Linked DNA regions of Ovis aries. The protein of the gene in region 2 interacts with the protein of the main gene of each other region in a biochemical or structural test. Links are inferred from orthologs where the notes say so. Each region holds a gene or a part of one and is shown on either strand. Other genes may lie near its edges.

Region 1 (7,564 bases), on a different chromosome or scaffold from region 2:
CAACCTCTCGGCCTCCCCTACTCTTTCCAGATTTTTAAAGGGAGTAGGGGGTCGTGGGGGGTCTCAAGCACTAAGTCCCGACGACGGGCGTGTAGAAAGTCATTTATCACAGCACAGCTCACGAGGATTCGGAATTCGAGATTGGGATTGGGGGTGGGGGTGGGGGTGGGGACGCGGGCGGTGGGAGGGCGAGGGCTCCCGGCCCGGCCCCGGCTCGCCTCGCTCAGCCACCTGTAAGCAGGCCCCGGGCGGGCGGGACTGCGCCGGCCCAGCCGCCGCTCCGGGCGTGGGGACCGGGACCCGGGGTCTGCGGCTCCGCGCTGCTCACCCTGCCTTCCGGGGGCTCCCGCTGCGACCACCCCTACCAGTTTGTCGGGGGCTCTTCCCTCTTCCCCGGCTCCGCGGGCTCACACACATACACACAAACACACACACACACACACACACCCCCTTCCGCGCTCCCGCACCCCAATGCTGCATTGTCCGCCGCGCCCTAGGTCTCCCTCCTCGGAGAGGAGCCCGCGGCCCCCGAAGTTTCTCCCCACTCGTCCACCCAGCCGCCACTCCGTCCCTCCGCGGCGGAGCGACGCAACACGCTGGAAACTCACCAGACACACTTAGGCATGGCAGAAAATAGAACCCAGTTGGGAAAATTTTAAAACCGACCACCCTAGCAGAAATCAAAACGCGCCCTGCAGAGCCCCGGAGCCCGGGCTCTCGGGCGACCTCAGGGGGCGTGCGCAGGGGGAGTCGGAGAAAGGACAGGGCGCGGGGGTGGCACCCACCTCGGCCAGGGCATTGGCGAGGTACCCGCAGCCGAGGAGCAGCAGACAAGCCCAGGTCCTCATCGCGTCCCGAGGCACCGGTGGCTCGGCGGGGAGGCGAGGCCGCGGGGCGGGCGCTCCAGCCGGGCTCCTGTGGCGGCGAAATTCAGTACCATCCCTCAGGGAACGCGGCCCGAAGGAGGGTGGCGCGGAGAGCAGGGAGCCGACGGAGCGCGCCCGGCGCGAGCAGCGAGTGCGGAGAGAGGCAGGCAGCGCCAGAGAGGAGGAGGAGCAGGGAGTGCGCGCTCGCCGCGCCCGCCGCGCCGGGAGCCTCCTGGGCCGCCGGGTAGGGGGTGGGGACGGAAGGGGCGGAGGGCGGGGGCTGGGCCTCTTCCTTGGTGCGTTCCCGGTGCTGGCCGCCGCCGCGCTCGCTCCCCGGCGCTGGCTCTAGGAGCGACCAGGCCGGTAATTCTGCATATTTGCGGGCGTCAGCCCCGAAAGGGACCCCGGAGCGAGGCTGGAGCCGCTGCCGCCGCACCACCCATCACCTGTCTGGACGCCCGGCCAGGCCCGGCGCGGGCTCGCGCTCTCCCTGCGGGCTGCGGGCGGCCCTGCGCGCCCACCAGCGGCCCCGCGCTCGCCTCCGGCCTCCTCTCGCCGCCGCCGCCGCCGCCCGGCCGGGCACGGCGCGGCCCAGCACGGCGCGGCCCGGCGGCCTGCGTGCGCCCCTCCGCGGCGCGCCCTCGGCTCCGGCGCAGCGCTCCGCCCTCCGCCCTCCGCCGGCCCGAGCCGGGCAGCGCCCGCGGCCGCTCCGCCTGGCAGCCGCCGCCCGCCCGGGGCCTCGCCGCGCGGGCCTGAGGGCCGAGCCGGGGCCGAGCCGGCGCCGCCGCCGCCGCCGCCGACAGAGAAGGAGGAGGAGGAGGCGGCGCGGGCAGGCCCGGCTCGCCGGAGTTGTGCGGGCTCCGCGGGGCGCGCGTGTGGAGCCGGCCGGCGGCGGGGAGGGGGTTATAGCGCCGCGGCGCGCCCCTCCCCCGCCCCCTCCCCCTCGCCTCCCCCGGATTCCGGGCCCCGGACCCGCACCTCGGAAGCGCGCGGGGGCCGAACGGGCCGGGCAGGGCCCCGCCGCGGCCGCAGTGAGCACACACACGCGCTCGCGCAGGCAGTAAAACCCATCAAGGCCCCGGGCCCGGCCCCGAGCACAGCCGCCGGGGCTCCGCGCGCTGCCCGTGGCTCCCCGGGCGCCCCTCCCTCGAGCTTGCCCACCCCCCAGTGCCAGCTGCAGCCCTGCAGCACCGGACGGGGAGGGGAGGAGGCGGCCGCAGAAGCGCCGCCGTCGCCGGCTCGCCTCTCTCGGGCCCCAGCGGCGGCAGAGGGCAGCGCCCAGAGCTGCTACGCCAAAAAGGGCAAAAGCGAGCCGGCCCCCGCCTCCCGCCCCCCGCCCTGGTGCTCCGGCCTCTGCACGGTTTGGATCCCGGGCCCCCGGCTCCCCCGCCATAAAAGGAGGGGGAGTGAGGCTCTGGTGAGAGGTGGGGCGGGTTTAGGGGCGCGTCTGGGACACTCACCTGGCGGCTGCCACGCGCCCCCGCCCGGAATCCGATGCCTGGGGCGTCTGAACGAGGAACCTCCACCCACATTCCGGGAGAGGAAGGCGCCCCGGTCGGAGGAGGGGGCTGCCGCGGGCCTCGTCCCCGCCCTGGGCTCCCGCACCCCCAAGTCCCCGCGCCCTCGTGGAAGGCCTGGCGGCGGTCTGAGCCAGAAACTCGAGGGCTGGAAGGGAGGAAAAGAAAAGAGCCGCTCGAGAGGAGCCCGGGAGTCTCAGCCTCCCGCGCCGGGATCCGCTGGGCGCACAGAGCGCCACCTCCGGCCGCGGCGCCGCACAGAGCGATGCGGGGGAGCGACGCGAGGAAGGCCGAGGCCTGAGCGGGGCTGGACGGCGCCCCCGCCACCGAAGGGCGGTGCGCCGAGCTGGGTCCCTCCCGCCTGCCTAAGCAGGTGGGACCGCACCCTGGCGACGGGTCTCTAGAAGGGCGGAGAAGCCCCCGGTATCAGGGCTAGAGGGGTAACGAGCCAAGTGACCCCGCAGCTAGACGGGAGGCCATTAAAGGCTAGGGACTGCGAGTGGCTGGGTGGGCTGCGGAAAGAGAACCTCGCTGGCCCGAGCCCTCCACCCCACACCCCCATCCTCCGGGTTGGGCCCCTGCCCCCGCCCAGGCTGCCCTCCAGCCAAAGGCAGTAAAGACACAACGCTCCAGGCCCTCTTTCATCCTTGGCTTCTTGGGCTCCAGCATTTCAAAGGCCGAGTCCAGTGGGCCCTCGGTGGGGGGCGGGGGGGGGGTCCCTCAGCTTCCCCCAGATTCCGGGGAGGAGGGGTGGGCCCCCCCTGGGATTCCCAGCGGGCAGGGTCTCCCAGCACTCAGTCCCCCAGCGCACCTGCCCCTCTCCGCTGCTAGCCTCACCTGCAGCCTCCCCCCCAAAGCACGCACTCGGGGCTTAGAAAGGAGGGTGAGGCAGAGCTCGGGAAGCCTTGGTACTGTCCTTGTCCACCTAAGTAGACCTCCCACTGCACTGGAGGGAGTCCGCTGAATGGTTTCCAGAAGGCGAAGAGCACACTGCTTGGACTCAGGCTGTTCCCCTGGCGGAGCCCAGAGATTTCCTGAGAGCTGACCGCATCACACCGGCTTGAGCGTCCAGTTCCTCACAGGCAGAGGGGACCTGAGGACCCACACGTCTTCAGGGCTGAAGGACTTGGTTTGATGGCGGGTGTGCGGATGAGGAAAGGTCACCTTGTATTGCAGGGGCTGGGGTGGGGGCCCTTCTGGCTCCAACCTCTGTACAGAGGTTCCCTAGGTCCTGGGGGCGGGGGCGGTCCCACCAGCTTTGAGCAAGTGATTCGCTCGGTGCCCCATCCCAGCCTGGAAATTCAGGGGCTCCCAGTTTGAGTTTGGGACAGAAATGTGGGTTTGGGGCAGAAGAGAAAAGATCTGGGAACATGGAATGGGGGCATCTTCTACGGGAGCCCAGGCCAAAGTTAGAGAGCAGGCGAGATTGGGGGGGGGGGAGGGGGCGCGCCAACGGAGGCATCCTTCTAATCTCTGGCGGCTATTAAAAATAAAACCTCGGCTCGTTGTCATAGCGACCACGACAACAGCGGCTGCCCAGGGTGGCACAAACTTGTGCAGCCGGTGACAGCCGCTTTTGGGGGAGACTCAGGGCAGACTCACACTGGTCCATCAAGGTCTGCCCTGCCACCAAGGACAGCCCTCCCCCACCCTCCCCCCTCCGAAAAAGCCGGCAAAAGTAGATCGCTAGCCGCTGTTTCCTAGACCTTGAATCGACTTGAGCAAGAATCAACAACCAGGACGGGAATCCACGCGTGCGGGGACTCCCCGACCCTGGCGCCTCTCTCCGAGGCCCCTTCCCCTTTCAGAGCCTGGCATCCTCATCTCTCGGGAAGGGGCTGAGTAGGGAGGCGGTTTCAGATGGAGGCTCGGCGGCGGGAGAGGGGACCCTGGGTCCCGAAGCCAGGCACGTGGGCGCTCCGGCACCTGCCCAGCCCGCCTGTCCTGCGATCCTGGCTGCTCAGGTGCGGTCACGTGCTCCTTTCTGCCCAGGAATCGAGTTTCACTTCCAGCCGCTATTAGGCGGTTCACACGGTTCACTGCAAACACTTGATAAAGAGGCTAAATATACACTCGAGTCGGAGGAGGCGTGGGCGGCCTCGCAGAGCGCAAGGGCGGGGCTCCGCGGGGCATCCCCGCCCAGGCCGAGAGTCCGGCTCGACCCCGACCAGTTCCCGGTTCCCGATGCTCCCACCCTAACCCCCCCGCCCCCCCACACACACAGCTGGGAGCCCAGGCCCAGGACACGCGGCCCTGGCAGGCTGTGGGCGCCCCTTGGCAGCCAACGGCTCCGAGGCGGAAGAAGGGGGCCCTGGGGGGGAGCTCCAGAGAGGGTAAGTGCTGGTGGGAGGTGAAGGCGCACCTGGCAGGCCGGGATGTCCGGTCGCCCCCGGAGCTGGTGCTTCCGGGCCATCTGCAGCGTCCCCGGCGGCGCGCCCCGACGTGTCGCGGACCCATAATTAAGGTGAGTCAGGTGCTACAAATAGGTGCAGAGAGGGACTCCCGGTGCATCCGGGTGGCTGCGCGTCTGCCCCTCGCTGGTTCTTCTGGGCACCGCCCATGACCCCCCCTCCCTCCCGCCACCCGCGGAGGGGCGGGAAGGGCCCGGCCGCTCCTGGAGAGCGGGACGCCTTTGTTAAGGACCTGAGGCCAGCCCAGGACCCTTCACCCTACAGCCCACCTCACCGCTCGTGCAGCGCTGGCCTGGGGCCTGGCACCAGCTGGCACTCCATTGCTGCTATCATCCTTTTATCTGTTTTTTTTTTTTTTTTTTTGCAGTGGGAGTCATGACTAACGTCCACTGGACGCCTCGGTTTCTGAGGGTTTCTGAGTGGCCCCTACGGGTGGAGAGCCGCCCCACCACCCCTCTTACAGATGCCAGGGAGTTGGGCACTGCCCACAGCCCCAGAGCGCAGCCCCAGACAGCCACTCCTGGGCCAGCTCTCCCAGTGCTGGGGGTGGGCGCTCTCTCAGGCCAGCTGGCCCTGCAGGTTTCAGAGGGACACGAAGGATGGCGCGGCCCCCTGGCAGTGAGGGCCTCAATTCCCCCGTCCCGAGAGGTGCTAGCTGCCTTCTGCCCCGTGACCTTGGCTTTGCTGGAGCACTTTGCCCCTGCCCTGCCTTGAATCTGTTCTCACATCTGAGGAGTAGGGGCCGGCAACCTTGCTGTGCACGGCTGTCTCCCACCACCCAGCCTCCTGCCCAGGGAGGCAATCGCCGCACACACGTGCCTGCAGGCCCTGGCACCCCAGGCTCGGGCACAGCTGCCTCCGCCTGGGTGGCCAGCTGGGCGTCCAGGCCCAGGTCTCTGCCCACTGCCAAAGCAGATCTCAGAACAATTTGTCATGACGAAACACCGTATTTCCCTTTATCTCTGGGCAAGGATTTCTTGGTTCAGGGCAATTAATCCAGGAGCAGCCTCAGCTGAGTGGGCAGCTCTCCTTGAAGATCAAAAGTGCCAGGCGGGTGTTAATTAAGTCATCATCTCAGCCGCCCCAGGCCCCGGTTCAGGATCAGGCCTTTCCAGTCCGGCCTCCCCATGCTCAGTGTTGGTTTTAACTCCCTATTAAATATTTTCCTTTTAAACACACAAACCGCAATGAGGTTTTACATAGCGTATGGGCCTACAATCATTCTGTGAATATTTTGTCAATGAAGACCTCTGGGAAGGGGCACTTGGGGGTTTCAGGAATTGAGGCCAGACCTGGTCTGTCTAGGATGGGAGCCCCCTGCCACGGGAGGCCACTGGGCATTTGAAACGTGGCTGGTATGTGCTGTTTGTGTAAAATGCACACGGCCTCCGAGACCTGGTATAGAGATAAAGAGTGTAAAAATGTTCACTAGTAAGTGTCACATTTGTTACCTGCTGAAAGGATAGCACTTTTGATACATGAAGTCAATAAACTGTTATTGCGACTGATCTCACCCATTTGTCGGTCCTGTGTTTAATGTGGTGGCTTTAGTGAGGTTTCTACTGGACAAGGCTGGTCTGGGCATCCGGAGTTCCTGTCTCCTCGGTGGAGCCAAGCCGGTGAGTATGAGTAGGGCAGGGGCGGGGCGGAAGTCCTGCCCTGGGAAGCCCGAAGCACCTGGAGACCAGAACACCCCGCAGCCTGCTCTGCCCACCACGCGTGCTTGCCTCGTCTGCCGTATGACCCTGAGCAAACCCTTCAGCATCTTGGCGCCTCCCCTCCTGCCTCTGGTAATAGCCAGCCCTGTGGGGCTGCTTTCGGAAACCCTCACTCACACAGCAGGTACTTCCGTGCTGGGCACAGGGCTGCAGCGCTGACACGATGCCCTCGCGGCGCCGGCAGTCTCTCCAGGGAGCAGCAAGCAAGTGGCCAGCGCCCGCGCTTCCAGGTCAGGGAGCTGGGGTGGTCAGGAAGGCCTGCTTCTGAAGGAGCCAGTGCCGAGATCAGGATGGAAGCTTCTAGGCAAAGGTCACACAGCCTACAGCAGCCTGTGCCAAGGCCTGGAAGCAGGAACCGGCGAGGCGTGTCGAGGACCAGCAGGAGGGCATGAGCTGGGACTGGTGGGCGGTGGGCAGGTCCCACAGACCTCGCGACCGTGTCAGGGTCGTGGGCTTGTTCTAGGGGGCAGAACCAACACATGCGGGGGCAGAAAGAGAAACCAGTCCCCCACAGCCGCCTGCCAACTGGCCAGGCCCCGGTGGCAGACCTCACCCCACCGTTGTCTTCAGGATTCATGGCCGAGTTCCTGCCTCTTAGACGTGAGCTCCAAGGTTCAAGTCTGGTGGTCACCTGGCTTGAACCCAGAGCCAACGCACTCCTCTTCCCCAGGGGCTGCTGGCGGCCCCATCCCTCTGTCCGGGCTGTGGATGGGGTGAGGAGTGTAGACAGCCTCCAGATTTGATGGGACTCAGCCCCCAGGGGGAGGCCGGAGTCTGGGGCTCACAGGTTGGTTGGGGAGAGGCATTGCTGGCTTCCCAGGCCTCCTAGAGGAGAGATGGTGAGAGCATGTCCCTCCAGAGAGACGGACTCACTGGATGGAAAGGTTTCCCGCGGGGAGGCCGGCACCTCCCGGAGCAGAGGCGCAAGCCCGACCAGCGCCCGCGGGGTCGGCAGGGAGGCGACCTTGGCTCACGGGCAGGGCGGGGGGAGGACATCAGAGTGCCCCAAAGAGGCAGAGTTGCGGGGTGAGCACCCATGCTCCCAGAACGAA
Region 2 (7,402 bases):
AGAATCCCACGGACAGAGGAGCCTGGTGGGCTACAGTCCATGGGGTCTCAAAGAGTGGGACACAACAACTAAGCAACTATCACACACACACAAGCTCCTCTCAGGCCAGGCTGGAGATCCCAGTTGTACACATTCTGGAGAGTTCGGGGGTGGGGTGGGGTGGGGTTCTGTGACCCACGACTCAAGAGGTCTGCCTTCTTTAACCTTCTTCATAATAGTCTCATGAAAATAATGAGTGTTATTCTAATGGGGCCCCTCTCAATAGCCAGCAGTGAGGCTGCAGCGGTTGGGGTGGGGAGCACTGGTAGCTAGACAAGAGTACTGTAGCAAATTCCTTCATGGCAAAGACCATATCCATTCTGTTTGCTACCGTAACCCTAATGCCTATTAGAGAGCTAGACACAAAGCGTATGCTCATTAAATGTTTTTTCAATCAATGAATCAACTGTTTCTCTCTCACTTTTTTTTTTTTTTTTGCAGGGGTGGTAGGGGGGGGGTGGCGTTCACATGGCTTGGATCTTAGCTCCCTGACCAAGAATTGAAACTGGTCCCACAGAAGTGGAAGTGCTGAGTCCTAACCACTGGACCACCAGCACGCCTGTCAAGTTGCTCAGTCGTTTCCGACTCTTTGTGACCCTATGGACTGCAGCCAGCCAGGCTTATCTGTCCATGGGGATTCTCCAGGCAAGAATACTCGAGTGGTTCCCCTGCCCTCCTCCAGGGGATTGTCCCGATCCAGGGATCAAACCTGTGTCTCTTATGTCTCCTGCAATGGCAGGTGGGTTCTTTACCACTAGTGCCACCCAGGAAGGCAAACCAGGGAATTCCATGAATCAATTCTCTAAAGTGGAGAGCAAACTCTGACTGGCACATGCCATCGTTTTTTTTAACTTACTTAAATTAAAAATATATACATTATAGTTTATTTACAATGTTGTGTTAGTTTTAGATGTGCCATAAGCTTTAATGAATTGAAAAACTGAAAGAGAAACTTCCAAAATCAAGGTTGGAGGATGTCTGGTGGAGGAAGGTGACTGTGTGTTAGATGCAGGCATGGCACACGTTGACCTACCAAGTGCATCCTCTCAAAGTCCGGGTGCCTGGTGCACAAGCTTACAAGACACCCCAGAAGCTCCCCCACGGATTCTCACCACAGGTTCCCCGAAACTGAGGCCTCAGCATCCCTTCTTCCTGACTTTCTTACAGATCCTCTCTTGGAGGTGTCAGGCCTGTCTTCTCATTCTGGCTGCTTGTTCTGGTCCTTCCTGGCTCCCTGCTGCCTTCTGGCCTAGGACCCAGTTTTTGAGAGGGCCTGAGACATTGATGGGTAATAGCTAGGAATCAAGATGCCCCTGTCCCACCTTTAATTGAGACCATGAACTAGAAAACTAGACTGGCATTCACCCAATTCTTGAGGCCAATCCAGGGGAAGCAGGGACCTGGAGAGGAGTATGTCAGTGACTGTGCCTGAGAAAGAGAAACTTTATCCAGTGCCTTCCTGGGCTTCTCCTGCCTCATATTGTTTAACCGTCTCAACAATCTGGGGACAAAGTGCAGACATGCCAATTCATACAGACGAGGAGACTGAGGCTCAGAGATGTGACCTGTCTTGACTAGATCACACTGGAACTGGAACCCAGGACATGGTTAGGCAGAAACTGGCACTGCTGTGCACTAACTGCTTAACCCCTCTGACTTTGTTTGCTCATCTGTTAATTGGGGGTAATCATGCACAACCCACAGGGTTGTTCGGGGGATTAAATAAAATAATACCCTGATTAAATAATGTGGCTCACACTCAAACTTCTGTACTATAATTAATGTAGTTGCAGATCCCAGGTTCCACTGGCTTTGCACCGCACAGTTTCTGCTGGAAGCCTTTTGCTTTTTTTTTTTTTTTTAAACATCATTAGCCCTTGCCTTACTCCTGGGACTTCCTGAGGACAAGGCCCTTTCTTCAGTCAAGCTGACCTAAACAGAGCCAGCCCTCCTGCCCCTCCCAAGCCACAGCTGTGAGTTGGAAAGCTGGATGCTGAGGCCCCTAATAAAGAGCAGACCTCCCAATCTCCTCGATCCCTCCCTCTCCCCTCACACGGCTTTCAAATTAAAAGTAACTAAAAGCTAAAGGTCTAACAGAAGGAGAGGGGAGTAGGTGGTGCAAAACCCTCTCCATATTGAGAAAGCCGTGCTCTCTCCCTAGGAAGAGGGTATCCAAGAATCCAGACCCAGGGGGGGTCTAGTCCCACCATGTCTTTCTCAGCTCTGGGGAGCTTAGTCCTTCCCTGGGCTCGTCAGAGTGGGAAACAGAGCTCACAGTCTATGGTCCTCGGGTCACAAAGCAGGCTCAAGTGTTTGGAACCCTAGCCCTAGCAGAGGCGCGGCTGGTCTCCAGCCACGGGGAATGGCTTTGGACTTCTCTTTGGAGACAAAGCTTTGAAGAGAAAGCCTCTAAGAACCCAGAAGAGACGCTGCACCCTTAGTCAGCCACCAGCAAGAAGATGAGGTGTTTAGGGGGACCCAGAGAGAACTGTCGCCCCAAGTTACACGAGCCTGTCTGGACCCTCTTTCTCCTCTTTTAATAAGACTTGGGCCTCTGTATTCTGAGCTGCAGAGACTAGAGCAAGCTTCCAAACCTCAGCTGGGGCAGACCCGAGGCAAGGGCGGGAACCCCACCATCCGCAAGCTTCCTCGGAGCCTTCCTCACTAAGGTCCCTTGCCGGCCCAGGGAGGTGTCTCTTGCAGGCTCAGACAAGAATTGAAAGAGGGTGGGAAATGGGACAGTTAGCGCCTCCCTCCGCCCCCCAGCCACCAAATGGCCCTTTATTTTCAATTCAGAAAGTTAGGGGGGAAAAAAAAAAAGCTAGAAGTGCGTCCCTCCCTCACCACAAACCCCCAACTTCATTTGAAAGGACCAACTGCGACTTGGCTTAAAGGTGATTTTCGCTACTATCGTCTTTGATAACTGCTGTAATCAGAGGTCTTCCAAAGCCCAAGTACCTTCTGAATTCTCCGAGGAAAGTAGAACTGGGGGGTGGAGCTGGAGCGCCGGGAAGAAGGAGAAGAGAAACAGAAAGCCAACTCAGCGGGGAAACGCCCACGAAACTCAAAGGTGTGACCCGGGGCTGCTGCCCGTCGCGGTCGCCCGGGAGTTGGGTAGGCGAGCCGGGGAGAGATTTTGGTTTTGTTTTCAGGGATCATTTGGATTTGGTTTTAAAAACTTCGGGTGGGGGGCTCTTTTTGATGGCTGGCTCTGCTCCATCTCTTGCTTCCAATTTCATTGTCGCCTGAGGGCCTAGATGCGCAAGGCCACGCCAGAACACCACGCTCCCCTAACTTCCCCTAACGTGGCTCATCTCTCGAGTTGGGCCTCCTTCCCAGAGGGTCGCAGCCGCCTCGACTGCGGGTTTGAGGGAAAAACCCTCATTCGTAATTCCATGATGATCTCTCAAGGGAAAAACACAAGAGGTGAAAATCAAAATCCGGGTTGAGGCTGGGACATTCGCTCAAGTACCCAAGCCGGCGAGGGTCACTCCTCCGGGAGCTCAGGGTGGTGGGTCCCCCGCAACGCCCCGGGCAGAAGCAGACAGAGAAGAGACCTCTCAGTTCGCCTCGGCCAGGAGGCATTTCTTGCCCGCTGCGGCTCCTGGACCACCCAGGACCCCGGGCATCGAGGGAGCAATCTGAAAGGATCTTAGAACAACACTGGGAGAGGGAAACTCGGCTCGCCCCACCTCTCCGCGACGCCCCTGTTGACAGACGCGCGCAGTCAATCCGCTGAACCTCGGCGGAGGGCGGACGGCAAGATTCAAACCCGCCTATGAGCAGTGGGAGGGGCGGGTGGGCAGAACTCATTTTAAGGAGCTAACCGCCTCTTTTTGTGGGCCTCCAGCCCCGAGGTTGCTCCCGACTAGTGGGTTTATTTTGCTTTTGCTGGGGAGGCAGATGTTGACCTCCCTCTATCTGCTCGGCCCAGGCTCGGGGAAATCTCCCAACCATTTGCTTCCCTTGCGCCACCCCCCACCGGTGTTCCATCCCCGGAGTCAGCTCCCCAGGCCTTTAAACCTTCTGGAATGTCACACATGGAAACCTTTAGCAAATGTTTGTTAATGATCATAACAAAGGCATCATTCAAATTAGGCAGGTAATTACTACCAGAAGGACGACTGAGTGCTTCCTTGCTCATCCGTTCTCTCTGTTTTAAACTCGCGAGGAGTTATGGCCCGAAGACACCCCGGCCCAGTCCACTTTTCGGGTCCCTTTAAGCGTCTCTGAAAGGAACTGTGAAGTTACCATTTGTGGGCGGGGAGAGCAGAGGCCTGCGTCCCGGAGATCCCGGCTTGACCAGGCTGGCAATGTCGTAGCAGCAAAGTAGGCCTTACTGGGTAGGCCCTGCGCCCTGCCTCGCCTCCTACCCTCTCGAGTCCGTGGTATAAAAATTTGCATCTCAGCTGGATTTTATTATTAGCATGAAATCCAGCACCCGCTTTCCCCCTATTATTCCGCACTCCGATTTTGGGGGGTTCTTTAGTCCCCGTTCGTTATCTACAAACATTACGGTATCCTGTTAGCATTCCGAACAAGGGGCTGTTCATATATTTGCCTTCAATGATTTCCTGAAGGAACATGTGGAAGTAATAGTGAGCAGTGCAGTCATCCGAACTGAAGATGCACGGGAGGCGGTTGCGCAGAAGGACTGGAGGAATGAGGCCCCTAGCCCAGCCTCAGGCGTCTTCACGAACCTGACACCCCAGGAGCCGGTCGCAGTTCCATACAGCACCCCTTCGAGTACTTCTCTGTGAACATCCCCTGCAGGCTGCTCCGTGTCCACTCTCTAAGTAAGGGAGAAGGTGATGGCTGTCCCACATTCCAGCCTAAACCAGGCCGCCCTGGCCACTGTCAAGTGTGTGTGTGGGGGGGGGGGGGGGGGGCAGAGTCGGGGGTGGTGGTAAAGGTTGAGCCCTCCACCCAACAAGAGAATTCGAAATTAGAGGAGGTGGGGAAGGCAATCGCGCTCCCCTCCCCCGCCCTCGCTGGGAAGCCCCACTCTGCCCAGGTCTGGTTCCTGGAGCGTCAGCGCCCCCTTTCTTTCGCGAGCAGGATCGCCCTCTCCCGGCTTAGTCTCCTGCCTGGGGCCCCAGGGCTAGGGTTGGGGGCTCCCTTCTTATCCCTAGTGTACCCGTACGGCCCGATCCACGCGTCGGGAGAGGGTGTGGGGAGAGTCAAATTGTACCCTCCCCCTGAACGCGGAGGTAGCAGGCTGGTTGTAGAAGATTCCGCAGACGATCAAGCCTGAGCCTTTTTGTGTGCGTGATAGAAGCCAGGACAACCTCGCCCAGATAACCATGAAAACAAAGGCAAGACAAGATAAGTGCTTTAAGAGAGTAAAGGTCGTTCTGTCGGAGAAAGTTCCAAACCTACGGCAGACCCTCAACTCTTTGTACCCTACTTCAAATCTGTCTTTGGACAAAATCAAACCAAAGCAAACCCCCTGCCCGCCCAAGAAAAAAAACCACCCATCATCTTCATATTAGACTCAACAGCTTGCCTAATCCCATTAAAGGATTAGCAACTATACGGCACTTTCCCTAAAAGACCCCAGGTTCAAGTCGACGCAACGGCTCGGAGACCTCTCCCGACGGCCGGGATTCTGGGTGGGTTAGGGGTTTCTACAGAAGGGACACTTCTTGACTCCAGATTTATATTCTCTTTGGGCATTAACTGCAATTTTACGTGTTCCTTTTCTTCCTTTCAAAGAAAATACAAAGCAACATAGCAGTGTAGGAAATTGTCCCCCGAAATCAAGAGGCAAACTCATTTTGGAAATGATGGGCAGTATGTATTTTCACGAACCTCTTTCTCGGCAGAGCATCAACACCTCCCCCTCCCCCCCACCCCATCTGGTCGGCTTCTCTCCGCCCCCCAGTTGTTGTCGAAGTCTGGGGGTTGGGGCTGGACCCCCTGATTGCGTAAGAGCGAAAAGCGAAGGAGCAATCTGGAGGCTGGAAGATTCAGAGCGCACGGAGTTCGAGGGAAACTCTTATTTTGAAGAGGCCAAGGGGAGGGGGGGGCTTCATTTCCTGACAGCTATTTACTTAGAGCAAATGATTAGTTTTAGAAGGATGGACTATAACATTGAATCAATTACAAAACGCGGTTTTTGAGCCCATTACAGTTGGAGCTAGAGGGAGAGAAACAGAGGAGGGGACTGCAGGAGAGGGCTGCAGGCCGTGGACACACTTTTTCCTCCTCATGTAGGATTTTCATTGCGAATTGACATTGGAGGAGAAGGTAAGGGAGGAGAAAAAGTATTTTTGTTTCTAAAAGAAATCCCTAATCAGGCTCTTTGGGCTAGAAGTGAAGTAACTTCAAACTTTGGGCGATGAAAAAAAAAAATTGGAGTCGAATTCTAGTTGTATGTCCAGAGAGTAATTTATTCTGAATAAACTTCACTTGGAGGGAAGATAACCATAGAGTTCGAAAGTCTAGGGGTTTAAAAAAACACATTTTCCAGACCTATTTTTAAAAGCAGTATTTTTCTAACAACTCTATGGCCTCCCAAAGAAATTGTTGAGGCTTACATTTTTGAGGTTTCTTTTGGGGGTTGGGGGTGATATTCCTGTATCCTGGGACGAGCACCAAGCAGTGCTGGGAGTGGGGGCAGAGGTGTTTGCCCTCTTCTTGGCATGGAGTCCTGGAAGGCTACAGGTTTTTAATGAGTATTTTCATTCCTCGCCCGCGGTTTGGCGGGACAGCACTGTAGCCGGCGGTGTGGAGCGCGACTGGTGGACCGAGGGAGGTGGGGAGAGACGAACGCCGAGTGGGGAGCGGAAGGGGTTGAGGGGAGGGGAGGCGTGAAGGGCTCGGCTGGAGAGGGCCGGACCTGGGGTGCCCATCGGGTGCACATGGCGCCGACCCAGGGCGCATAGTTACTGGAGGGTGCTGCGCCCGGTAAGGGCCAGACTCAGTACAACCTTGGCGGCTGCGAGACGAGCGGAGGGGGCGCCGATTTGGGCGAGGGTTTGGGGATCAGTGGTTTGCGGCAATCAGTGAACTGCGAGGGAGAGAGGGCGCCAGCCCCGCAGCGCGCTCGGATCGCGCGCTGTAGCGCGGGGGCGACGGCGGCGCGGGCTGGCGGGCAGGCAGGCGGTCTATGGAGTAATGACAAACACATTTGGCCCCGAGTGAAGAAGTCGTCGTCGCCTCGCATTCCAGCAACTGGGATTTGAGGAATTTCGAACTGCGCTCCTAGGGGCCCTCATTGTGCGCGGTGGTCTCCACCCCCAGCAATCTCTGCGCACCCCCATTCCTCGGTGGAACCGTTTTTGCCAAGCCCGGAGCTCTGCTGCTACCCAGTCCCAGCCGCAGGAAGGAAAGAAAGAAGGTCGCCAAAAAAAAAAAAAAA
Region 3 (7,438 bases), on a different chromosome or scaffold from region 2:
ACCTGCCCAGCATGGTGGTTTAAGCAAATGTGTGAGCGCAGCAGCTGGATGACCTGAATTCAAGTTCTGACTCCACTGATATGTGACCTTGAACTCTGTGGTTATGTGACCTTGCTTCACTGACTCCATGTATAAGACAGGAGCAAACATATCTCCCTGGAGCATTGAAGATCATATGCAGAGTAAGAAGAACACTACCAGCCATAAGGACACCTCAGTCATAACAGTAGCTATTGTCAGTTATAAAGAAGGATACAGAAGGTCAAGGTCAAGTTCACCTAGCTGTCCAGTGCAGCAGGGTTTTATCTCTAAGTCTGCAGACTTCAAATCTTGGGTTTGGGGATTATCTTCTCATCTTCCCCACCCTGTCCCCCTTGTCACCCTGTCTCCTAATTAATCTGTTCACGCCTCTGTCTGTCCTTCCACATGGGGTTCTTCCAGAGCAGTATCAGCACCAAGCCGTCTCCCCAGTGGCCGGACGGTGCCTGGCCACCGGGGGACTGTGTTGAAGGAATGATGCATTCCATGTACCAGGCATCCTGCTCTGTGCTTCCACATGGATTATTTTATCTGTGCCTCCAGACCACTCTATGAAGTAGATAACAATTCTTCTACAACTGTCTTGAGCTCCAATAAAGCACTTATCGGTCTGGATATATGTGAATACTTGTGAATTCATCACACCCAGCCAAGACGACAAATGTTTCCACCCCCCATCCCCAAAATGTCCCATGCTTCTTGGAAATCCCTCCCTCCCTCCAATTGTAGATTTCTCTCCAGTTTTGAGATAGGGAAGGAAATCGAGGGACTGAGAAGTTAGACTTCCCAGAGACACTTGGTCAGCAAGTGGCCACGCCAGTATTTGAACCAAGATGACCTGTCCCCGGCCAAGCTGCCTTGGCGGTAATGGGAAGAGGGTGGGAGCATGTGGTGGTCTGTAGAGATGTCCTCCCTCCTCACCGCCCCTGCTCACTCAGGCCCAAGAAGACAATCTAGGAAGAGACGGTGGGTGCGTCTCTCAGAAGGGTGTGTGCACATGTGAGGAGCAGGCTGCCACCCCAGAGGGATGTTTGGGTACAAAGGGCAGACAACAAAGACATCACAACGAGACCAGATAAAGGTGTCCTCAAGCCAGGAGCTGGGCGATGCGGTGAGCCTGCGGGCCTCATGGTGGGGTGCTGGGCTCGTGTGGGCGTGTGACTCTGTGACTGTGACCGTGTGACTGCTGAAGGCAGGGACATAGCAGCTCCCGGAGCTAGGGGGGCGGAAGGCGTTAACTGTATGAATGCTGGCGTGGGGGGGGGCCGGCGGCCTCCAACCTGGGGGCTGAGGGAGGTAGTAAACATCAGGGCAATTGGAGGAGCATGATGGCGACCCTACAAGGATGCTGCAGGGTTGTGGGGTTTGTGTGACTTTGCAGCTCAACAAATTCAAATTCAGCCAATGCTGGCAGCGCCTGTTGTGTGCCAGGCAACCGGCTAGGAGGAGAGGAGCGTGTGAGGCTTTCGGCTGCAGGGTTTGTGTGATCACCTTGTGCCTGGTTTGGGGCTGGGTACTTTTGCTCTCTCCAGGCACTAAGTCCTCACAGTCCACCCACCCCACTTTGAGGCGAGATGGAGGAGCACAGAGAGGAAGTGACTTGCCCAAGGTGACCCAGCTACTCAGCGCCAGGCAGGATTGCAGAGCCTGAGTCCTTCAGCACCACGCCTGGGCTAGGGCGCAAACCGCCGGTCTTGGAGGTATCGCCTTGGAATCCTGCAAGCCAGCGGCTTGGGAGACACCCTGGCCCCCAACCACATGGGCCAGAAACCAGGCCACAGACACTGCTGAGGGGCCCAGCGTTTGATGGCCCCTAGTTCTCCCTTGCCAGGGACCAGATTCCTGGGCAGACGGGCGGCGGGGCTTTCGGAGACCCCTAAGTTCCCCCTCCTCGCCTCAGGCCCTCCTGGAGCTCTCCCCACCCTCCCGTTACTGACTCTCGGCCAGAAGAGGAAAAGCTGTCTCCACCCACCTCTCGCACTCTCCCGTCTCCTTTATAAAGGCCGGAACAGCTGAAAGGGTGGCAACTTCTCCTCCTGCCTCCCCGTGCGCCCGCAGCCTCCCCCGCTGCCTCCCCGAGGGCTCCCCTCTGGCCGCCAGCGCCCATCTTTCATTCCCCAGATAGAGATATTTTGCGCGCACACACAGACACACACGCGCAAAAAAGGGGAAAAAAAAAAAAAGACAACCCACCCTCCAGCCTCGTTGCAAAGAGAAAGCCGGAGCAGCCGCAGCTCGCAGCCCGCAGAGGACGTCCAGAGCGGCGAGAGGGCGGGCAGACGGACCGACAGACTCGCGCCGCGTCCACCTGTCTGCCGGGCGCGGCCCAGGGCGCAGCGGACACGCCGCGCGCGCGGAGCAGCCGTGCCCGCCGCCCGGGCCCCGCGCCAGGGCGCACACGCTCCGGCCCCCCCCACCCGGCCCGGGCGGGAGTTTGCACCTCTCCCTGCCCGGGTACTCGAGCCGCCGCTGCAGAACCAACTTTGGAAAAAGTTTTTTTGGGGAGACTTTGGCTTTGAGGTGTCCAGCTTTGCGCTTTCCGACTTCAGGGACCTTTCCAGAAAATGTTGCAAAAAAGCTAAGCCAGCGGGCAGAGGAAAACGCCTTTAGCCGGCGAGTGAAGACGAACCATCGACTGCCGTGTTCTTTTTCCTCTTGGAGGTTGGAGTCCCCTGGGCGCCCCCACACGGCTAGAAGCCTCGGCTGGTTCGCGACGCAGCCCTCCGGCCGTGGATGCTCGCTCGGGCTCGGGATCCGCCCAGGTAGCGGCCTCGGACCCTGGTCCCGCGCCCAGGCCCTCCCCAACCCCCCAACGACGGAGCCCGGGCTGGGGGCGGCGGCGCCCGGGGGCCATGCGGGTGAGCCGTGGCGGCGGCTGCAGCGGCCTGAGAGCCTGATCGCCGCAGACCCGAGCAGAGCCCACCTCCCTCCCCAGCCCCCGCCCCCCACCCTGGCCGCGGGGGCGGCGCGCTCGGTCCACGCGTCCGGGGCCCCGCGGGGCCGGGCCCGGAGTCGGCATGAATCGCTGCTGGGCGCTCTTCCTGTCTCTCTGCTGCTACCTGCGTCTGGTCAGCGCCGAGGTGAGTTGCGACGGCGGCTGGGGCTGCTTCGCTTCATTCATTACCCCCATCCCTGCCTCCCGATCGCCCCCTCCCTTCGCTGCAGTGAACTTTGGACCCGTGGGCTTGGCGGCGGGCGTGAGGTGACCTCCGAAGGCTGCAAAGCGAGGTCCGGGAGTGCTAGGCTCTAAGGGGAGGGGCAGCCGTGGCTTTCTTTTCCCTGGGGGGATCTCAGATCTCCGATCTTTTAAGCGTCAGGGGAGGAGGTGTGTGTGGTCCTGTCCCCCACCCCTCCAGGAACCCGAGAATAAGCCCCTTCCTAGCCCAAGCGAGAGGGGTGGGGTGCTGCCTAGGCAGCAGGCAGCGCGTCCTCGAGAGCCCACTTCGGTTAAGCTTAGGTCCTGCCCAGGACCCGGTTTGCCCTGGAGGTGCGAGCTCGCGCACGGGTGGCAGCCACACCAAGCTTCGGCGGGGGTCTGCGAACTACCCCGGCTCCTGCTCCCGGTCGGGGCGGGTGCCCATCGGGCCGTGCAGGTCTTGCCCGGCCCCAGAGTGCAGTGTCGGAGCCGCTTGCAGTCTACGGGCGCGGTGGGTGCAGTGAGAGGTTTGGGGCACCTGGCCTGAGGGGCGGAGCAGGGGCTTGTAGGGAATCCAGCCCCGGTGGCGGTGTGTGCCTGAGGCCGCGCCATACCTGCGCCCGCACCCTGCGAGAGGACGCACCTCTCTTCCCCCGACCGCAGGGTGCGGAGCGCGCCGCCTCGAAAAGCCCCGCAGCAAGGAAGCTGGGATAGGGAAACGTCTGCGGGAGCTATCAGATCGTACGGGTCCCCCGCACCCCTCCCAGCCTCACGTAGCAGTGAGTTGGCAAGTCTACCCGGAATCCAGGTGGGAAAGGGGGCGGGGCAGGGAGGAGGCGCGAGGTGCCGGGGAGGAGAGGGCGGCGGGCCGCGCGCCGCTCCTGGGTCCCGTCCCGCCAACGCTCGGCCGCGGCCGGGAGCCCGCACCTCGCCCGCTCCCGGGGGGAGGACCGGCCGCTCTCGGCCTCCGACGAGGCGCAGGAAGGAGGCGGCGGCGGCGAAGGGGTTAAGGTGAAGAGCTCCGAGGCCGCGGCCGGGCCTTGGGCCGCCGCCAGCGCAGGTTGTTTTGACCACGGAGGAGCCGTCGCCGTCTCCTTTTGTTCTCGGGGCTCCTCGAGGGCCGCCGGCCGCCCGCCCTGGGGCCCCGCCCTTCCGCGGCCACCCGCCCCCCCCCCCCCACCCCGGCGGCAGCACCCGGGAGGGAGGACGCGGGGCTCGGCCCGACCGCCTGCAGGCCCCTCCCGACGTCCCCTCCTCTCCGCTCCCGCAGCCCCCCGGGCCGCGGCCAGCTGTTGGGGAGGGGGGCGCCGGCCGGCCCCAGCTGCCGCCTTGCCTCGCCGCGGGGCCTGGGGGGCTGGGCCCGGTGCCAGGGCGTCCTGGGAACCGCGGCAGCGCCCCCGCCTCTGCTCTCCGCAGCCCACCCCGCCCGGCCCCCCGACTCGCGCTCACTCACCCCACGCATGCACACTCTTGGCCGGAGGCGATGCTGCGCTCCGGCGGGCGGGCGGGTGCGCAAAGCGACGGGCACGCACTACCGCGGCCGGGTCGCGCGCCCGCCGCCGCCGCCACGCCCGTGCACACGCGGGGCACACGCGCGCGCACCGCATACACACGTACGCACGGCCCCCGAACACGCAGCTTCAGCACACGTGCGCGCACACCCACGCACGCACACAGGCACGCAGGGCTCGTATACCCACCCTGTACCAGGTTCCCTCCCCCGCGCAACAGGTGGCCCTGGAACCTGGTCACCTCTGCAGCCACCCCATTTCCTTCCTGGGTCCGATGAGGGGATGGAAACAGGAACCCTCCCGTCAGGGTCCGGCTCCACGGCACGCGCTGGTTTTTGCCTTGCCAGGTCAGCCCCACGCCCCTCAAGCATGACCCCTCTGTAGCTGCTTTTTCAAACCATCCTCAGGTGGCCGAAAAAGATGTTGTGTGACTGGGGCCGTTGTGATGTCCAGAGCACTTCTCCCTTCACATAGGCCCAGCTTTGAACCTCCAGCCAAGACTGTGGGCCCTGAACCGCTTGAGGGGGTTTCCCATCCCTGCCGGCTCAGTCGTCTTTCCCTCCCCAGCCGGCTCTGGGGAGGCTGGGTGACAGCTGGAAAAGGCCTCTGCAGGCCTGCCCTTTCCATTTCCAGCTTCATCCAGCACCTCCTCCTCCTGTTCCACAACTCCATGGGGGTGTGTGCTTGGTGCGGAGGCTCTGGCCAGGAAGCTGGTGCCTCTCTCCTCACTTGAATCACAGCATCCTTGAACGTAGTCTTCAGGAACTCACGGTTGTGTCGTGCTTTGCAGTTTATGAAGCACTTTCCTGCAGAGCCTGAGTAAGCCTCAGGAGGCTCTGAGGGAGGAGACCTAAAGGGAAAAGGGAAAACCCAGTGACATGGGAGCCAATCCAGGAGGGCTTCCTGGTGGAGGTAGCCTTGAGGTTGGTCCTGTCCCCTGTATGCCAGCAGTTGGGAAGGAAGAGTAGGGAGCTCTGAGGTGGGGCCTGGTTGAGGGTCGGCTGAAGTCCATAAGGTCTCATCTCCATTAGCTGAGCTGGCTTCCGGGAGGGTGACACTCATCATCATGTGATGCCTCTGGCCTCAGCACCCTTCTGCCAAGAAGAAGTGAAGGGCCCACAGACCTTCATCACCCAGCTTCTTTCTTATTTGCTAATGCTCTTACTTAGTGGGAGACTGACTTGCTGGAATCTCCCAACCCTAGAAGTGTCTGCAAGCTTAGGATCAAACAGAATTTGAAGGCTCTGGTGCAAGACCTAGGAACTGTGTGTGTGTATGTGTGTGTGTGTGAGAAAGATTGATTCAGCAGAAGTAGAAAAGAAATAACTTGCCATGGACCTCCTAAGACCGTCTCAGAATCTTCCCTCACCACCCCCTCTTCTCCATTGAAGTACCCCGTCTAGTGCAATTATCTTCATTTTCTGATTTATTTGGTTGTTTCTTACCCATTTTTCCTCACTGGAGTGTAAACTCCACTAGACAGCTTTTGTCTTGGTCACCACTGTCTCCCCTGCTTAGAATGGTGCCTGGCCATGATGGATAATCTGTAAATATTTGTGGAGAGGACAGTGAATCCTTGAAGGGGGGAGGGAAGGACCGGACGTGTATCTCAGGCTTGCTAAGTGCTTTATAAACACGGCCTCATTCCGTCCTCACCCAGGGCAGCCCAGTACAGCTCTCCTGCCCTCCAGCAGACATCTTCGAGTCCCCCGCAGCATCCCCCAGTCTTGAAAGACAAGCATCTTTCTTTTCCGTGTCTTGGGACTTAGACTGCCAAGACTGGACTGGACAGAGGGGAAGAAACAGAAGCAAAGTGAGATCACAAATAGTTCTGGGTGTTTTGAGCTGGGCCTCAGTTTCCACCATCTAAAAGCGCGCGCGAGAGAGAGAGAGAGAGAAGACTAGATTAGCTCAGTTTCTCAAGAGCAGCAGAATTACCTGGTCTCTTGAAAATGCAAATTCCTGGGCCCCACTGGATGCTGGGAGTTGGGATCAGGGTGGTGGTGGTGGCTGGGGGCAGTGATTGCGGTGGACTGCCAGGATTGTAATTGCTGCTCTGGCCTCTCTCTCCCGTCTAACAGTTTTTCTGCTGGAAGGAGAGGAGGGAGCCCACTGGGGTAGCTGGTGGGGGTGGGGGCTGGGCTAACCGTAATAAGGATGGGGGAGAGGGAGGGTCCCAGGAGCAATAGGGCAGGGAAATGCTGGTGGGAATGGCTGGTTCTAAAAGGCTTCTATGGTCTGCCCAGAGAAGGCTTCTTCAAAGGGCTTGGCTTTGGCATCGAATCTAAATCAGGCCCGAGACTCTCAGGCAGGCGGGTGCTCCAAGGCCTTCTTCCTCTGCCAGCCACTGACAACGCCCCTGGTTGCTTGGGCCAAGCCCTTGTCGTCTCCCACAGCGGAACTTCAGGCAGCCTGGGGAGTGTGTATCTGTGTGCGAGCGCTGAGGCCCAGGCAGAGGGTGGGGTCCAAGCCCCTTTAATCTGCCAGCCTGACTGGGAGCAGGTAATTCACCTGGCCTCAGCCAGCTCGTGCCCTTCCTACCTCTGCAGCTGGCGTTGGGGGTGGGGTGGGGTGGGGTGGGGAGGAGGCTGTTTGCTTTGGCTCCCGAGGAGGCTGGCTGTGCCCCAGCTGCCTTCTCTCGCCACGCCCTCGCCCTGCCAGGAACCCCAGGCCTGAGATCTGGGGCAGCTTTATCAGGGTGCCAGGCCTCCTTTCCCATTTCTGAGGGGGAGCTTCCCACCTTAAGGAGGTT

What was found.
Region 1: the proteins of PDGFRA (region 2) and PDGFA form a complex in vitro, tested with the Homo sapiens proteins (2 studies listed by BioGRID). The link is inferred for Ovis aries from reciprocal best matches to the Homo sapiens genes PDGFRA and PDGFA.
Region 3: the proteins of PDGFRA (region 2) and PDGFB form a complex in vitro, tested with the Homo sapiens proteins (3 studies listed by BioGRID). The link is inferred for Ovis aries from reciprocal best matches to the Homo sapiens genes PDGFRA and PDGFB.

Annotation. Positions count from the first base shown.
Region 1 is NC_056077.1:42,366,489-42,374,052, reverse strand, and holds the start of PDGFA (platelet-derived growth factor subunit A), read right to left. Parts: upstream 4,932-7,564; 5' UTR 3,221-4,931; intron 2,643-3,220; exon of another isoform or gene 2,532-2,642; 5' UTR 2,399-2,531; coding exon 2,327-2,398; intron 2,137-2,326; exon of another isoform or gene 1,845-2,136; intron 1,483-1,844; exon of another isoform or gene 1,313-1,482; intron 1,022-1,312; exon of another isoform or gene 849-1,021; coding exon of another isoform or gene 786-848; intron 1-785.
Region 2 is NC_056059.1:70,433,028-70,440,429, forward strand, and holds the start of PDGFRA (platelet-derived growth factor receptor alpha), read left to right. Parts: upstream 1-3,084; 5' UTR 3,085-3,153; intron 3,154-4,619; 5' UTR 4,620-4,835; intron 4,836-6,113; exon of another isoform or gene 6,114-7,402. UniProt on the Homo sapiens protein: Tyrosine-protein kinase that acts as a cell-surface receptor for PDGFA, PDGFB and PDGFC and plays an essential role in the regulation of embryonic development, cell proliferation, survival and chemotaxis.
Region 3 is NC_056056.1:216,500,805-216,508,242, reverse strand, and holds the start of PDGFB (platelet-derived growth factor subunit B), read left to right. Parts: upstream 1-3,041; 5' UTR 3,042-3,056; coding exon 3,057-3,119; intron 3,120-4,668; exon of another isoform or gene 4,669-5,033; intron 5,034-7,438. UniProt on the Homo sapiens protein: Growth factor that plays an essential role in the regulation of embryonic development, cell proliferation, cell migration, survival and chemotaxis. Potent mitogen for cells of mesenchymal origin.